Coturnix japonica: one gene and its partners. The protein of the gene in region 1 purifies or fractionates together with the protein of each later gene. This does not show direct contact. Links are inferred from orthologs where the notes say so. Each region holds a gene or a part of one and is shown in the gene's direction. Other genes may lie near its edges.

Evidence for each region.
Region 2: the proteins of RNGTT (region 1) and POLR2D purify together in Homo sapiens (affinity purification with mass spectrometry; 3 studies listed by BioGRID and IntAct, with this or other methods). This does not show direct contact. The link is inferred for Coturnix japonica from reciprocal best matches to the Homo sapiens genes RNGTT and POLR2D.
Region 3: the proteins of RNGTT (region 1) and PPP4R3A purify together in Homo sapiens (affinity purification with mass spectrometry; 3 studies listed by BioGRID and IntAct, with this or other methods). This does not show direct contact. The link is inferred for Coturnix japonica from reciprocal best matches to the Homo sapiens genes RNGTT and PPP4R3A.

Annotation. Positions count from the first base shown.
Region 1 is NC_029518.1:69,078,614-69,082,974, forward strand, and holds the start of RNGTT (mRNA-capping enzyme), read left to right. Parts: upstream 1-1,528; 5' UTR 1,529-1,685; coding exon 1,686-1,749; intron 1,750-3,410; coding exon 3,411-3,520; intron 3,521-4,361.
Region 2 is NC_029524.1:1,664,690-1,668,257, forward strand, and holds POLR2D (DNA-directed RNA polymerase II subunit RPB4), read left to right. Parts: upstream 1-1,148; 5' UTR 1,149-1,203; coding exon 1,204-1,276; intron 1,277-1,348; coding exon 1,349-1,529; intron 1,530-1,761; coding exon 1,762-1,857; intron 1,858-2,805; coding exon 2,806-2,884; 3' UTR 2,885-2,991; downstream 2,992-3,568. UniProt on the Homo sapiens protein: Core component of RNA polymerase II (Pol II), a DNA-dependent RNA polymerase which synthesizes mRNA precursors and many functional non-coding RNAs using the four ribonucleoside triphosphates as substrates.
Region 3 is NC_029520.1:40,252,251-40,256,327, reverse strand, and holds the start of PPP4R3A (serine/threonine-protein phosphatase 4 regulatory subunit 3A), read left to right. Parts: upstream 1-1,271; 5' UTR 1,272-1,675; coding exon 1,676-1,817; intron 1,818-4,077. UniProt on the Homo sapiens protein: Regulatory subunit of serine/threonine-protein phosphatase 4. May regulate the activity of PPP4C at centrosomal microtubule organizing centers.

The DNA of each region.
Region 1 (4,361 bases):
TTCCTCCTCCTGTAGGTGAGAGGAGGGTTTGCAGACACACAGCTTTCTGATTCCTTTCTAGCACGATGTCCAGTTCAGGGACCTGGATTTAAAGTAGCTCCATCTGAAGCTCTCTGCATCCTCCCTGCCTATGCAGAACTATATTCTACAAACACTAATACCTTAAAGGCTTGTGCCTTTAATTTCCCATAATGAAGCCCTGAAGGGAAATTTAAGATTCACATGAAGACTTGAAAGCAAGTTGCATCTATTAGTCTGCGAGTTTTATTACTCTGGGTGTACTCTGTGCTCTACTAGAAGTCTGGCTTGTCTTCTGTTGGAATTTCTGTTAGGAACTGTATCACAATCTTGCATTATGGAACAGCTCCAGGAGCTGATTAGACTGGCTTCATGCTGTTTCCTGTTTAGTTTGGATAGGAGAATTAACTATACTTCAGCTTACATCATGTTATGTCTGTGAGACTGTGGTGCCCCCTAATGTTATGAAGATTACAGACTGGTGATTTTGTTGCTGAACTCTCAATGCTCTCTGCAGGAAGAACACTGCAAATGACATCTCCAATATATCAAAGAACTTGGTTTGAACAACCCTTTTTGTTATTTGATACACTCAAGGGTTACAATAATTCCTTTTAAAGTCTTATTTTCATTTCCAAACACGGAAGAATAATTGATTTGCCTTAGAACTCAGTTTCTTCATTATTTCCTGACACCAAACAGGTGGACGTGCTTTACAACCTGTTAAGCCATTAGCATTTTCTTTTGGCTTCACAGAATCACAGAATGACCCGGGTTGGAAGGGACCTCAAGGATCATGTAGTTCCAACCCCCCTGCCTGGCAGGGCCACCAAACACACACCTTTACTAGATCAGGTTGCCCAGGGCCCCGTCCAACCTGGTCTTGAACTCCTCCAAGGACGGGGCATCCACAACCTCCCTTATGGAAGAGCTGGTGCATGCTCAGCGTGTTTAAATGCCTGCATGATTAGGTTCTCTAATTAGCATTAAGTGCAAGCGCACACTTGTAACAGCAGTATTAAGAATGTGGGAACTGTGTGCCCTCTGCTGGTATAACAGGAGAAGTGCCTCGTTCGCAAAGAAACAACTTAAGAATTGTCATCCTACGCCTGTAACTTGTTTCGTAAAGTCTAACGTGGTAAAGCTCAGCGTGACCTACACCAGCAGAACTCGTAGTAGCTGTGGAAATAAACGTGAGGCATTACTTTCGGGGCAGCCCCCCGTAGGCGATAAGCCGGTATCCCCGCTTTCACTTTCAGTTCGGCCTCCAGCGCCCCCTGCCGGCCGCTTCCCGACCTGCGCTGCTGGGAGCAGCTGGGGAAGGAACAGAAACGAGGCGGCCGTGGAAGCGCAGGGCGATGTGGGTCGGGAGGGCACTGCGCACCCCTGGGTGTCAGCACAACCGCGGGCTGGTTGTCACCCGCTGGCTCCGGGCTCATTCATTCCTGCCCCGCTCTCCGCCCCGGCTCACCCGGCATGGCGGCGCCGGCAGCGCGCACCCGGAAGCGGAAGCGGTGGCGGAGCAGTGCGGGCCGGGGCCGAGGCGGAGCTGGGTCTGAATGAAGGCGCCGCGGGCCCGGGGCCGCGGGCGGCTCTGAGCGCCGAGCGGCCGCTCCCTCTCGCCCCTTCCTTCCCCCGCCCCCTGTGCCCTCGGCCCGGGCCCGGCCATGTCCTACAACAAGATCCCGCCGCGCTGGCTCCACTGCCCCAGGAGGGGACAGCCCGTGGCAGGTGAGCGCCCGGCCCGGCGTGGCTGCGTGGCGGCGGCGATCCCCGCCGTGCCCGCTCCCTTGTGTCCCCCCCGTTCCACCCGACCCCCGTTCTCCAGCCCCGCCGGGCGCTTTGTCCCGGCACCGCGTGGAGTTTGGGCCTCCCGGAGCCCCCAGCTCGGAGCTGGTTCGGAGCTGGAATCTCTGCCTCGCGTCTCGGCTGCAGGGAACAGGGCGAGTTGTCAGCCTTTGACCACCACCAAAATAGCCCCATGAATCTTTACTCTTTGTTTTCCCTCTCAGCACGTTCTCCGTCTCTAGAATTAGTTAGTTTGGTTTGTGTGGGGTTTTTATGAGTTTTTCTTATTCTTTGTTTGTTTTTAAAGCCAGGACTGCTCAAAAAAAGAAAAAAATAAAAAAAAATGGCCAGAGTAAGCACGATTGTAGTTCATCAGCGTGTCATCTGCTGAGCTCTGAATGCACGGGCTGTGCTTGTTCAGGAACTGCAAGGTGGCTGTTCTGCTCTGTGCGCTCAGACACCACAAGTTAATGCATAAAGATAAAGGGAACTGCTCGCTTTGTTTCTTTGGCTGCTGGATCATAATGCGTTCTTATGTCACTTCGCTTAATTTTTAGGCATTTAGTGTGTGTGCAGCTACCAGAAATCACAGAATTGTAGGACCTCTAGAGATCATCGAGTCCAACCCCCTATCATAGTGAACCAGCAGTCTGTCATGTTTTATGAGCTCTGGTTACTGGTGTTCTACATCATAACATCACATAGGGCACTGGGACTTAAACACAGTCTTGCCATGTGTTTTATTTCTTATTCTGCATTCAAGCCATCTACCTATTTTAGCAAGATGTGATTTTTAGACTTTCCTGGAGTTGCTGCTGTCTCACAGGTGCTTTATATTCCACTTTGGATCAGTTTTTCGAACACATTCGCATGCTTCTATGCATGGCTTCATTCCCTTCTAATAGCATGTCAGTACTATTGTCACTCAGCAAGGTTTGTCTGGCTTCTGTGGGCTAACAGCCACCACGTGTTTGATTGCATCCCTCTTATGCTTGTGGCATCTTTAAGTTCTAGGTGACCTGAAATACAAGAATCAGGGAGGTCTGGAGCTCTTCTGTTTGTGTGACTGAGCTCATTCATTCAGAAGTTGGGCACCTAAATGGTTCCAAGGCTCGGGGTTTCGGTATGTTCCCAAGTAGTACTAAATGGAGCCCGTTGAAATACTCAACACTTCCACGGAGTGAATGGGTGTGTTGGGATGGCAGTGTCTGAGCAGTGAAGTGAATTAGAACAGTTCTAAGCATGCTCGATGCTTTGTTGGATTCACTGCAAAGAGAGATTTCTGCATTAAGATCATCCACAGTCAGGATTTGGAGAATCAATCTGGGCAGTATAAGCTATGAGTTAGTGTGGAAGGAGGGGTTAACAGTGTGAGAGTGCTGCTTCTTGATGGTCTGGTTGGTTTCCCTCTTATTTGGGTGACATTCTGTGAACTCAGAGCTCAGAAAAGCTTCCAGTTAGTTGTTGTTGATACTTTACCCGCAGTTACTTTTCACTGTAGAAGAACCTATAGAACTGCTTGGTGTATTGCTTTGAAAACACTGAGTTGCAAGTGTGCATATACATCAGTATGTATATAATGCTGCCAAATCTGTGTTTCCTAGGGAAGTTTTTACCTTTGAAGACAATGTTAGGACCAAGATACGATGATCAGGTTGCTGAAGAAAATCGTTTTCACCCAAGTATGTTGTCCAACTACTTAAAGAGCCTCAAGGTAAAGTTATATTTTCTATTTGTTGAGATGTTACTTTTGTTACTAGCATTCAAATACTGCTTTTCAGGTTTAAGAAAAGAGTTGTTGATGGTTTTCCTGGAGACACCTGTACAGAAACATGTAATATGTGTGTGTAGCAGAAATGCTAAACCATGGCTTGAGTCAGTGATAAAGCACCGGGTGGGGAAGCAGGGCCAACCCAGATCTATGCATCTACATTCTACTTGGGCTCCTCTTTTATCTAATGCGGTGTCTGACTCCAATCAGCTTTAATGGGCACACTTAAATTTTCCAAAAGTTAGCCTGTTCATTGCTTAATGTAATATAAAATCATAGAATCATAGAATTACCCAGGTTGGAAAAGACCTTGAAGATCATCAAGTCCAACCGCACCCTAACTATAGTACCCTAACTCTAACAACCCTCTGCTAAATCATATCCGGCCGCCGTCCAACCCTGTCTTGAAGCATCCTCCAAGAGGGTCATCACAACCTCCTGGAGCCTTTTATCCAGGGCTAACCACTCTCCTAGTGAATGAATCTTCCCCCTAACATCCAAACCTAATCGTTCCTCTTTAACTAAACCATTTCCCTACTGCTATTATCACCACTTTCGACAGAGTTTACTCTCCTCCTGGAGTAAGTTCCCTCAGGTATTGAAAGCCTTGCAATGAGGGTCACCCCGCAAGCCTTCGTCTTCTCCAGGCTGAACAAACCAACGCCCTCAGCCTTCCCATAGGGGAAGGTGCTCCAGCCGCTGATCAATCTTGTGGCCTCCTCTGGACCCTTTCCAAATATCTCCATGTCTTTTTTGTACCAAGGGCTCACACCTGGACACAGTA
Region 2 (3,568 bases), on another chromosome or scaffold:
AGACTGAAACCAAGCACAGCAGTGACAGGGAGCTGTTAGCCACCACCACCGCCTCCTTGGCTGTACCTTTATGCTCTTGTAGGTATGTGGCTTTCCCCGAATCCTTTCAGTTTTCATGTACTTAAGTAGGAGAGATCACTGGGGAACAACAGATGTTAAATTTGTAACCAAGACTGCAAGCTACCTACTGCTTGAAGATCAGGATGTTCTGAGGTGAAAGGGTATGTGAGAAGCTGTTGGGATTCCAAATGATTTTAAAAGGCTTCTCTCATCAATCTGGCATGTGGATGTGGCCCTGGACAGCCTCATCTAGTATTAGATATGGAGGTTGGTGGCCCTGCCTGTGGTGGTGGGGGGGGGAGGGGTTGGAGCTTTATGATCCTTGAGGTCCATTCCAACCCAAGCCAGCCTATGATTCTATGATTTCCTTGTTTTCTTGTAAACGTAATTGAAATAGCCTCATTCACTAGATGTTCTATTTCCACACTATCTTCCTGAGTGTCTTTCTGTTTGTACCACTCAGCTAATTCGTTTTTAGTTCGCTTCTCTGCCACGCTCGTCTGGAGTTAACAAACATTAAGGAGCTCAGATCTGATCCTGCAGCTCCTGGTGGAGCTCACCCACCTGCAGGGTGCAGGAAGCACAGCAGCCGGCACAGATGTGCGTTAGGAGAGCAGGAGTGGCCTCACAGTGAATCCTCCAGCCATTTATTTCTGCATTTCTTTAAGGGCATGGGGTGACATTGTGCAGCCTAAGATGATTACTGTAAGTCTTAAGCTGGTTGGGCACTTTCATGTGTGTTCCCAAGGGAAAGTACTACTACAAACACTACTTTGCTAGCAGTGCCAGGACGAACCCACTCATTTCCAGCCTGCCTGAAGCTTTAAGCTGTCTATGGATTATTCCTGAGTAGGCCAAAGAAGGGAACCTTACTTCTATTGTGTTCTGCTATTGCCATCCATGCTCCTCCCACACACACCTCCATGTATTTACCACACTGCACCAGAAGTAATGCTGCTGTGGGTTGTTTCCTGGAGCCATCACTCGCTGCGTTCCCTCAGAGGCATCAAGATGGAGGCGCTGGGTGCTCACAGCGCCGTGCAGCGCAGCTGGAGCCACCTGAGGCGCCGCTCCCTCTGCTGGGCGCCGGGCACTCACAGCGCTGCGCTTCCGGGCGCCATGTCTTCCAGTTCCGGGTGAGCAATGGCGGCGGGCGGCAGCGACCCGCGCACTGCGGATGTGGAGGAGGACGCCTCGCAGCTCGTCTTCCCCAAAGGTGCGCGGCGACACCTCGTGCTGTTGTTTGGATCCGTGTTTTAAACACTGACGTTTGCTTGTTCCAACGTAGAATTCGAAACGGCAGAAACCCTGCTGAACTCAGAGGTCCATATGCTTCTGGAGCATCGCAAGCAGCAGAACGAGAGCGCGGAGGATGAGCAGGAGCTGTCCGAAGTCTTCATGAAAACCCTGAATTACACAGCGCGGTTCAGCCGCTTCAAGAACAGGGAGACCATCGCCAGCGTCCGCAGGTGGGTGCGAGGCTTTGGGCTGTGATACGTAACATCAGCCTTGTTCGATGGAGCTGAGATTTACTGACGTTTCCTGGGCTTCCCACAGCTGTGTCTGTCTTTTTACCTATCCACTGTTGTAATGTTTCTTCCTTCATAAACTTGGATGCAGTGTCAAAAAGCAGAGTTGTGTGCTGTCTGCTTGCCTTGATGCTGCTTTGCTTATCTGTCTTGTTGTTGGCTTTCCTCACAGCTTGCTGCTCCAGAAGAAGCTCCATAAGTTTGAACTGGCGTGTTTAGCCAATTTATGCCCTGAGACTGCTGAGGAAGCCAAAGCTTTGATTCCCAGGTGAGCATTTATATACCTAAAAGGAGTGTGGTGTACTGCCCTGTGATGTAAAGCTGCCCATGGACAGATGCCTCCTCCATAATCCAGCTCTGCTGATGGGAAAACCTTCCATCTCAGTTTTTCTTCACTTACCCATTGATCTGACAGTGAAGCAATCTAAATATCCCTAACGCACTTTAGATAACATTTACTGGATTAAGAGTGATGGAATCGTGGAGTTGGAAGGAACCATTAAAGGCCATTTGCTCCAACTCCCCTGCAGTGAACAGGGACACCCACAGCTGGGTCAGGTTGCTCAGAGCCTGGCCTTGGATGTCTCCAGAAGTGGGGATTCCAGCACATCTCTGGGCAGTGGCTTAGACTGGGGCTGTCAGCCCAGCCAGCTGCGTTTGTTGGTTGTTGTTGGAGCAAACAGCAGTGTCCCTCTGAACCGCTGGGTGGACAATGTGCAGATGGGGCAGGGAGATCTTCCAGTGTCGTCTCATCATTTGTTACCTCGTACCCTGAGATAGAGGAGGAATGAGACACTCATCTGAAGTACAGCTTTCCCCTTGTATGCTAAGATTTCATAGAATCTTCTAAGTTGTACAAACGTTTGTTGAATACCTCCACAAAAGGCAACCAGCACTTCCCTGCTCAGCCTGTTCCAACACCTCACCACCCCTTCTGTGAAGAAATTCTTTCTAATTGAAACCTCCATTGGTACAACTTGAGGTATTTTGCTCACATTCTTCATAGCAAATCTGGACTGGCTTATGAGCATGAGGCCTGCACCCGGGTTGACCTTTTGGTACAATGACTTGAAATCATTCCACACTGAGCTGTGGGAAGGTTGGAGTTCTGTCACATAAACAGGAGGCTCTGCATGGGTGTGAAATGAATTCAGAGGGGAACAGGGGAGGCTGTTCCTACGAGCTTTAATGTACCCACCTTGTTCTTACCTTGCAGCCTCGAGGGCCGGTTTGAAGATGAGGAATTACAGCAGATTCTTGACGATATTCAGACCAAACGCAGCTTCCAGTACTGAAGCTGAGCACCAAAAGCTGCCCTGATACGCTCAGTTGTTTTGTATTATTCCCCTTAGCGTAAATTAAAAAAGATGTTTCTAAGATATTAAAAGATATTTCTAATTAAGCTTCTGTGTTCTGTCATATTTATGAAGATCTCTGCAATACACTGATTGTACTGGGACAAGGTGGACGCTCTGAGGGCTGCGCGGCTTCCGATTGCGCATGCGCAGGCTGTGGAGCGGCCTCCCTGCCGCTCAGCGTCTTATCGTGGTGCGCATGCGCCGCCCCTGGCGCTGGTGGGGGCAGGAAGATGGCGGCCGGCCGCGGCGGGGGATCGTGAGGCGGCGTCGGCGGCTTCCGGGGCCGAAGAGCCGAGCCGAGCCGAGCGGCGGGGCCGCGAGGGCGCGGTGGGAGACGCCGGCTGGACGGTGAGCTCGGCTGGGTGCGGTGTGAGGCGGGAGTGGGGCTCGGAGAGCGCGGTTCGCTCCGCCATTTTTAGGCCTTGGCCCTGGAGGGAGGCCGAGCTCAGGCCGAGCTCAGGTTGGAGCGGGGCGGGATCGCGGCGCTTCGGGCCCGGCCTTGTCCGCGGGGTGAGGGATGTGGGCTGTGAGCGCCGTGTTGTGGTGGGGCAGCGCTGCGCCGTGCGCGGCTGCTGGGGCCTGAGTAGAGCGTCTGTCCCGCTCCCAGTTCGTGCTGTTCCT
Region 3 (4,077 bases), on another chromosome or scaffold:
ACACCCAACACACTATCTTAAATGGGCTCCAATGCAGAGGTATGTCAGCAGGGCCCAAATTGCCCTCCTGTTTGCACACCCTGCCAGCCTCGCACGCCCTTCGCAGGGCAGCCTGTCAGACACGCGTTTGGGCGCTGCGAGCAACAGCAGAACCAGGGGCTCAACGGCTTCTGTTTGTTATTGCAATGGTTACAGCCTATCCCTGCCGGTAGAGGTCCAACAGCCGCTCAGCCAGCAGCTGTTTAACTCTTGCTTTTCAGCTATACTGGAGTAGGGAAAAAGAGAAAAAAAAAGAAAGATCATAACAATAAAAGCTTTTCAGGAAGCCGTGTCCGTGTGTTCCACGGAACCATGATACGGGGTCACAGTGCAGCGAGGGGTTAAAGCTGCTCCCGAGGAGTGGGACCGAGCAGCGCTTTTCCACCCGCACACACACACGCGTCTCCCACGTCCGGACCGGGCCAGGCGCCGACAGCAATCCCGGCGGGGCGGGGAGTGCGGCAGGGCTGCACTGTAGGGCTGCACTGTAGGGCTGCACTGTAGGGCTGCACTGTAGGGCTGCACTGTAGGGCTGCACGGTAAGGGCTGCACGGTAAGGGCTGCACGGTAAGGGCTGCACGGTAGGGCTGTAGAGGTGCCGCCGTGCAGGCGCGGCGCGGATCCCCGTGCCAGAACTCAGCCCCGTCTCGCTGCCCGCTCGGGGCTGCTGGCCCTTTAAATGCCGGCCGGCGGCCCGTGCCGCTGCTGGCTGGGAGACCCCGCGCCTCCAGTGAGAGGTGAAACCAAGATGGCGGCCGTGCAGTGACTGAGGCGGAGACAGAGGCGGAGGGAGCGGGGCTGGACGGGCCGCGTCGCGCCGCTGCCGCTCGCCCCCTCGGCAGCGTCGGGCCGAGCGCTTCTCCGCCACCGGGTGCCGGGAGCGCGGCCACGCCGCGGGGCGCGCTAAGGAGCCGGGACCGAGCCGCCACAGCCGCACCGGGAGGAGGAAGAGGAGGAGGAGGAAGAAGAAGAACATGGCGGCGGTGTCGGGCTGAGAGCGAAGCCGCCGCCTGCGACCGGAGCCCATGGGGGAGCCGGGGCGCTGAGTGCCCCCGCCCGCCTCATCCCGCCCCGGGCCAGCAGCGCCCGCCGGTCCCGGCCCCGCGGAAAGAGGGCGGCTCCGCGCTGCGCTGCCGTGACGGACACGAGTGAGGGGCTCCGGGCCTGGGCGGCCGCCGCACAAAGAGCCGCGCTCGGGCCGGGCCGGGCGGTCCCGCTCCCGCCCGCCTTTCCCGCCCGCCTCAGCCCGGCCTCGGCGCTTCCCGCTCGGGCCCTGCCCGCCGGGCCGCCCGCCGCTCTCAGCCCGGGCCGGACGCCGCTTCCACTGCTCCGGATCCGCATCTTGTCCGCGTTCCGTTCCCCGCCGCCTCTCCCCGTGGAGCTCTGCCCGCCTTTTGTCGGCCGGACCCGGAGCAGCGCTTCTCTCCGTCGTTCCCCGCTCCTCGGCACTCCGCCTCCGTGGCCATGAGGATCTGGTCGGAGCGCTGAGCAGCGGGACGAGGAGCTCTCCTGGCGCGTCCGCGTGGGGCCGCCACCCTCCTTCCCGTTCCCCCCGTGAGGGGGCCCGGCCCCCGGCCGCCTTCACGCTCCCTCGGCCTTCGCGAAGCGGCGCGGTGGCCGCGGTGCCGGCGGCACGATGACTGACACCCGGCGCAGGGTGAAGGTTTACACGCTGAACGAGGATCGGCAATGGGACGACAGGGGCACCGGGCACGTCTCCTCCTGCTACGTGGAGCGCCTCAAGGGCATGTCCCTGCTAGTCAGGGCGGAGAGCGATGGTGAGTGCGCGCCGTCTGCGGCCTCGTGCCGCCCTGCAAAGCCACGGGCTTAGCTTTGTGTGTTCCTCTGCCTGAGTGTTTCGCAGTGTAATTCAAACGCGGTTCCTACAAGCAAGCAGGCTCCAGGCGTAGTTCGCCGCCATGGAGTGCGGGCGTAGTAGGCAGCGGGTTCACGGTGAACACGGCGCTTGGTACAAACGCGGTCAGGTCTGGTTACAAGCCTTGTGCGGGCGTGGGCATCTCGTGATCCATGTCCAGGTGCCCGGCGTGCCCCGGCTTCAAAACTGATCGCCGTGATCTACCTGGCCTCAGGTGTTTCTGGAAATAACCCCACGTGGAAGAAATGCTCAGACTTGAATCGTGGTTTTTGGCCACCTGATGACTTATTAAAAAATGAGTCTAATATCCATTTCTTTGCTCTCTTGCACTCTCTCATTTCTTCTACGAATTAAAACATTCCAGCATCTATCAACAGTTAGCAAAGCACAGCTGTAGTAGCAAAGACAATGGACAGAATGGCACTTCTTTTTTTCTCCTCATGAAGTGGTATCTTTCAGTTCTTGACCAGCTCTAGATCTCACCGTAAGTAGAATGATGCATTATCCACTTCCCTTGCTTCTTATGACAAAATTTACTCCAGGCCAAGCAGTAGTGTCTACAATAGCTGTGTCTAGTGGATTGAGACTACTAACAGATGACCTTTCATTCTTCTTCCATATTTTTTTTTTCCATTGTAGAAACTAGGATGAGAAGCGTGTTGAGCATCACTGATTCTCAGTATTTGCTAAAGTTCTTTCAAGCTACCAAAATCTGTGCAGCGAACAGATCATAAGCTGATGTGGAGGAATGAACTTGAATCTGAGCAGGTTTTTGATGTTTGATCTGCTGATTAACCATGAATCTCAGGGGTTTGTAGTTTCTTAATTATACTTGAAAGAATTAAATAGGTGATAATTTTGTGGGTTGGAACTAGGTGATATTCAAGGCCCCTTTCAATCAAGCCATTATATGAATTTGAGGTTCTGGTTTTTTTTTTACAGTGAAGAAGCTGCTTTCTTAGTCTGGCCAGCTTTCCAGTGTGAGAGAAAACACTCAGAATGGAAAGAGACTTTGTTTAATTTGAACATGAGGGAGGTGAGGAGATTCTCACTGTACTTTCAGGCAGACCTTGTGTTGCCATGTATTTTGTTGTGGATACGGCCCTTGCTGTGCACAGGAGATCTGTTAGCGATGGTTCAAAACTGTCCTGTCTGTCACGTGCTAATCAATTTTCTAATTTACTTATTTTTTGTTCCTCTTGGGAAAGAAAGCAAAAGGAGTGCAGTGTGTGAGTTTCTTGTGAAGAAATAGTCCATTCATACTGAGATCTCTTCATTGGCTTTGAGTGGTAAGACTGATTGGAGCCACAGTTGGGCTGTTGCTGCCAGCTTTGTTGTAAGTGAACAGTCTGTCAGATGGAAAGCATAACTTGCTGTAAAGGATTCTAATACAGACATGAAGTCTTTACTTTGTGCTGTGTAACTAAGGCACTTTGATCAGGACAGTGTGCTCACACGTGCTAATTGCTCTTAGTGCTCAGCAATGCACCCAATAGCACACACCACACATCGCTCTTGTCTCTGCACATGCTTCAAGAGCAGCAAGTAACGTGCAGTGTGTAGGTTCTTAATTTAGTCAGTAGTATCTGTCCGGCCTGGATAAGTGTGTGCTCTATTAATAGGCCAGGTTTTTTTCTAACTTGTGTAAACACCTCACAAAATCTGATTTGTGGATTAATGAAAGCAAATGCTATCATTGTTAAATATGAGCAAATTATTTGGGAAAAGGCGATGTTAAACATAAAACCAAGTGTTTCAGGTACTGTGCAGTTTGTGTTCCCTCATGTGCTTTTTTAGCTAAAACTCAGTAGCTTCTGGTTCCCAAAGTTGTGCAAGCACTAGGAACCTGACCTATATACCACTACTTCTATGTTTCCATTTTGTTCTTGTATTGTCTCTTCGTCAGCTCCTCCTCATTCCACAATGAAATTCTTCCTTCCTCCTTTTATAAACTAGCTTTTCCTAGCATTTGTGCTGAGATCCATCCTGTGCACGTTGCTTGTTCTTGCTGATGTGCTCCAGGAAGCTGGCTGGGAAGCTGGGATCTGACCAAAGCTGAGGGCTCTGCTTCCTGAGTGGGGGCTGTGAACAGCGGTTTCCCTCCATGCTGGAAATTCCCCACTCTGGTTCCACTGTCTGCAGGCCGTGAACAGCTGATCTCA